Linked DNA regions of Xenopus tropicalis. The protein of the gene in region 2 purifies or fractionates together with the protein of the main gene of each other region. This does not show direct contact. Links are inferred from orthologs where the notes say so. Each region holds a gene or a part of one and is shown on either strand. Other genes may lie near its edges.

The links.
Region 1: the proteins of ppme1 (region 2) and ppp4c purify together in Homo sapiens (affinity purification with mass spectrometry; 3 studies listed by BioGRID and IntAct, with this or other methods). This does not show direct contact. The link is inferred for Xenopus tropicalis from reciprocal best matches to the Homo sapiens genes PPME1 and PPP4C.

The regions. Positions count from the first base shown.
Region 1 is NC_030685.2:2,447,928-2,450,342, reverse strand, and holds the end of ppp4c (serine/threonine-protein phosphatase 4 catalytic subunit), read left to right. Parts: intron 1-644; coding exon 645-774; 3' UTR 775-1,915; downstream 1,916-2,415. UniProt on the Homo sapiens protein: Protein phosphatase that is involved in many processes such as microtubule organization at centrosomes, maturation of spliceosomal snRNPs, apoptosis, DNA repair, tumor necrosis factor (TNF)-alpha signaling, activation of c-Jun N-terminal kinase MAPK8, regulation of histone acetylation, DNA damage checkpoint signaling, NF-kappa-B activation and cell migration.
Region 2 is NC_030678.2:174,863,636-174,866,479, forward strand, and holds the end of ppme1 (protein phosphatase methylesterase 1), read right to left. Parts: intron 2,649-2,844; coding exon 2,584-2,648; intron 2,493-2,583; coding exon 2,425-2,492; intron 1,208-2,424; coding exon 1,189-1,207; 3' UTR 501-1,188; downstream 1-500. UniProt on the Homo sapiens protein: Demethylates proteins that have been reversibly carboxymethylated. Demethylates PPP2CB (in vitro) and PPP2CA. Binding to PPP2CA displaces the manganese ion and inactivates the enzyme.

The sequences.
Region 1 (2,415 bases), on a different chromosome or scaffold from region 2:
GAAGCACAGTAGGAGGGGGAGAGCCAATCACAGCCCTGCACTCACACAAGCACAGACAGGCTTCAGTTCCCTATCAGGTCAGCCTAGCTGCTGATTGGTTCCTATCCTACAGTACAGAAACACAACTTTTTAAGCACAATCCTTCTATATCTAGAGGAGTATAATTCCCTGGTACATTCTTAATTTTTATAGGATATGTCTCCTTTAACCCTATCTGTAACAATGGCCCCTTTATTGGAGCTCCCTATAGATCCTCTCGGGTCCCTGTCTGGGTTTCCAGTGAGGGGTGGGCGTGTCCTAATGGTCCCTCTAGGAGGGGGAGAGCCAATCACAGCCCTGAACTCACACAAGCACAGACAGGCTTCAGTTCCCTATCAGGTCAGCCTAGCTGCTGATTGGTTCCTATCCTACAGTGCCGCCGGCCCCCCTGCACAGCCTGGGAAAGGAGGCAGCAGGAAGTGGGTTTTTGGAGAAATTTCTCAATAAATCAGCCCCAAACACTACTTTTTAAAGCCCATTCCTTCTGCATTTAGATGAGTACAATTCATTGGCACAATATTGGTTGTCACACAGTGTCCCCTTTAGTTCCGCTCATTGAGTGTGAGTGTGTGCCCCCCCGCAGCCTGACTCTGTGTTCTCTGTAGGTGCGGGAATGTCGCCGCCATACTTGAGCTGGACGAACACCTACAGAAAGAATTCATCATATTTGAGGCTGCCCCCCAGGAGACGAGAGGTATCCCCTCCAAGAAACCCGTCGCTGATTACTTCCTGTGACCCGCCCAATGATGGCCTCTGCACCATTTCCTCCTGATTGTCTTTTTGAACTGCTCCCAGCACAACTCTCTCTCCTCCTCTCACCTCTGGCAACGGGACCAGTGCTGCTGTTTCTAAACAAATGATTTGCCAGCGCCCAGCTCCGCTGCAGAGCATCGCCCCTTCTTTTCTAGATCCATCTCACGGAGCCTCGTGTGTGTGTGTATGTGTTAGGTAGCAACGGTTGGGAAGAGAGAGCTACCGCTGTGTATATAGCATGGCCGTGCCACCCCTACAGTGAATTAGCAATGCCCTGCCAGCTCTTCTAGCAAAGGAGGAGATATCCGGAAACTCCTGTAGCCGTGCTGCGCCTCTCAGGAAACTAGGTAAATGTAATGCTCTGCAGGACTTTCAGGGGGGGTCAGTGTGATGCTTTCTAGTAGGGAGAGAGGGGGGGGCAGCATTATGCAAGGAAACCAAAATACTTCTAGAATTCACAGCTTCTTCCTTGATTTTATAACCCCCCCCCCCCCCCAGATCCGCAGTCATTCCTTATAATGTCTCTTCCACTCGGAGCCTCACGTCCCCTGTACTAAGATGCTGAGCTTACACTCACGTACGGAGTGCCTTAGTGCAAGCGGGGCCCGGGCGCCCAATCCCAGCTGGGGGGGACCAGGAGAGACATGATGATGATGATGATGATGGAACCCGCCGCCCCTTCTCTATTTAGAAGCTGCGGCAGATCTAAGATTTGAGCCCCTTTTGGTGCCGATTGGCAACTTTTGAGCCAAAGTGTTCACCGTAGCTGGCCCCTGTAGCTCAGCGAAGCCATTCTGGGCTGCCGGGAACGTGAGTAGCCATTTTGTTTAACCCTTTGTAAGCGGCTAGCTGAGAGATTGCTTTGGCAAGGAGGCATCTAAAGCTTCAGCTCGTGTATTGCCACCTACAATGCCAAACCTCCGATTCCTTCCCTGGAACAGCCGATATTCCATTATAACTCCCTTCCTTTCGTCTATGGCCCCAGTCTCTTGTTCCGCACTCTTTCTGGTCAAAGATTTTATCCTTTTTCCCTTTTATTTTTATTTTTTTTTTCTTCTAATTTTACATTTTTGGTAGGATACAGTTAAACATCTGCTAATAAAATGAGAAAAAGCAATAAAAATGGAAAATGTATTTGTATATATTTATATGTTAAGTCTGTTAATGCTTCGGTTGGTCAGTAGAAAAGGGGCGGGTGTAGGACCCGTTATCCACAAAGCTCAGGGTATTCTAGATAAGGGGTCTTCCTGTAATTTGGATCTCCGTACCTTAGTCTACTAAAAAAAATTAATTCAACCAATAGGATTGTTTTGCCCCCAATAAGGATTAATTATATCTCCATTGGGGTCAAGTACAAGGTACAGGTATGGGATCAGTTATCCGGAAACCGGTTATCCAGAAAGTTCCGAATTAGGGGAAGGCCGTCACTCTGTTTTATTATTACAGAGAAAATTTAAATCGGTTTTATTTGATTAAAATGGAGTCTATGGGAGACGGGCTTTCCGTTATTTCGGGCTTTCTGGGTAACCGATCCCTTACCTCTACGTTGCAATTGGTCTTCCTTATTTATTTATTTATTTTTATAGTTTTTGGATTATTTGCCTTCATCAAATAGGGGTCACT
Region 2 (2,844 bases):
CACTATTTATTGGGCTGGGGGGGCTGATTGTGCCTCTGGGTACTGGGAATGCCAGGGGGGCTGTAAGGTGCCACGGACAGTCACTATTTATTGGGCTGGGGGGGCTGTTTGTGCCTCTGGGTACTGGGAATGCCAGGGGGGCTGTAAGGTGCCAGACAGTCACTATTTATTGGGCTGGGGGGGGGGCTGTTTGTGCCTCCGGGTACTGAGAATGCCAGGGGGGCTGTAAGGTGCCACAGACAGTCACTATTTATTGGGCTTGGGGGGGGCTGTTTGTGCCTCCGGGTACTGGGAATGCCGGGGGGGCTGTAAGGTGCCACAGACAGTCACTATTTATTGGGCTGGGGGGGCTGTTTGTGCCTCTGGGTACTGGGAATGCCAGGGGGGCTGTAAGGTGCCACAGACAGTCACTATTTATTGGGCTGGGGGGGGGACTGTTTGTGCCTCTGGGTACTGGGAATGCCAGGGGGGCTGTAAGGTGCCAGACAGTCACTATTTATTGGGCTGGGGGGGGGGGGGGGGCTGTTTGGGCCTTCAGCTAGATGCAGGTAGAAGAATGAATGCAACAATTTGATTGGTTGCCATAGGCTACTGCCATGGGCAAATCTGCCCAGTGTTGATAAATGACCCCCAGTGTACCCTCTCACCAACATCCCATTGGAAAGCTATAGGCAAGCAAACCAATATGAGCCCCTGAATAACTGATGGTAATACAATGAATCTTCCCTACCTTCCTTACCAGCTTGATAGCCATTCCAGTCTGTAGTGAATAAGCAATGATGAGATTGTCTTGCCCCCTACTCCCCCCCGCCAGAATGTTTGGTATCATCCAGAACCCCAAACCCCCAGAGCAAACGGCAAAGCTTCTCTATGACTGCCCAATATCAAAAGGTTCACCCCAAACTGTGATATCTGCAGACGGCTGGCGATGAGGAGGAGATTATGGAAGGGATAAATCAGAAGAGAGCCAAGTGTACTGCACAGAGAGGGTCTGAGCCGAGTGCGGCACAGGGGGGCTGGCCGGCGCTATAGCAACAGAATGGTGGCGGTTGTTGCGGTGCCGCCGCACACACAGATAGGAACCCACGTTTCCTCCTTTGTATCAGGCTGATGGTGAGAACTTGGATCATCACAGTTACCTCTGGTTTCAGACTATTTACAGCTCCTTTCCCCACGGCCAGCAGCATACTAACAGGCAGGGAACACACTGGGGACAGAAGAACAGACGTTACTGGGATGGGCCGGCATGGGGGCTAATATACCGACACTCATAAACTACAGATTATATTATATAGTGAATAAAGTGCCCCCCTATTGTAACATATAGGGATATTATAAGTCCCATAGGAGTTCCTTATAATATATAGTGAATAAAGTACCCCCTATTGTAACATATAGGGATATTATAAGCCCCCGAGGAGTTCCTTATAATATATAGTGAATAAAGTGCCCCCAATTGTAACATATAGGGATATTATAAGCCCCCGAGGAGTTCCTTATAATATATAGTGAATAAAGTGCCCCCAATTGTAACATATAGGGATATTATAAGCCCCCGAGGAGTTCCTTATAATATATAGTGAATAAAGTGCCCCCTATTGTAACATATAGGGATATTATAAGCCCCCGAGGAGTTCCTTATAATATATACTGAATAAAGTGCCCCCTATTGTAACATATAGGGATAATATAAGTCACTGAGGAGTTCCTTATAATATATAGTGAATAAAGTGCCCCCTATTGTAACATATAGGGATATTATAAGCCCCCGAGGAGTTCCTTATAATATATAGTGAATAAAGTGCCCCCTATTGTAACATATAGGGATAATATAAGTCACTGAGGAGTTATGTGACCACAAGGCCAAAGGTAAAGTGCTTATACAGGTCACGGAACTCTGAAGTGACTTCTACTAGTTTATTACAATATATAAGTTTCAGTGAGTCATGTGACAGAAATAACATCACTAAGCTCCGACTGTAACTGATGACATCACTAAGAACCATTTATAAGGATATAATTTACAGTTTGGTCCCATAGGGAAATTAACAAACTGTACATTTATATACATAATATACAGTAATATACATACTATATAATATACAGTTTGTTAATTTCCCTATGGGACCAAACTGTAAATTATATCCTTATAAATGGTGCTTAGTGATGTCATCAGTTATAATCGGAGCTTAGTGATGTCAGTTCCGTCACATGACTGACATATATATGCAGCCTGTGTATGGCAAATCTCATTGGGTCAGGACTGCATTGGGTCATGGCTTGGGGGGGGGGGGGTGGTCAAATAACCGGATGAGACAAGTAAAACAAATGTATGTACCCATGCAATCATTAGACCCTGCAAGGAGAGTCCTATTGGACGCACACAGTCGCTGCTATACAGCCAATAGCGACACCAGCTCTTACCAATGGAATCCGCCCACTGATTCTGCGAACCTGTGACGCACCAAGAACGTGGCGACGGCTTCTGCAACCTTGAGAGAAATCACATGGCCCAGAATTAGGAACAAACTTAAAAAAAAGCTTCAATTCTCTCCAAGAGACATAGCGCTCTATAAGTCTCACCTTATCGGGGGCATCTTCATGCACAGCGTGTCCGCACTGGGGCAGCACTTGCATCTGAAACTTTCCTGCGGCAGAACAAGAAATTCAGTGATGAACCACACTGCAGGGCTGTGATTGGCTCTCCCCCTCCTACTGTGCTTCTGGCAGGGACCGTTAGGACACGCCCACCCCTCATTTGAAACCCAGACAGGGACCTGAGAGGATCTATAGGGAGCTCCAATAAAGGGGCCATTGTTACAGATAGGGTTAATGTTTAGCCCA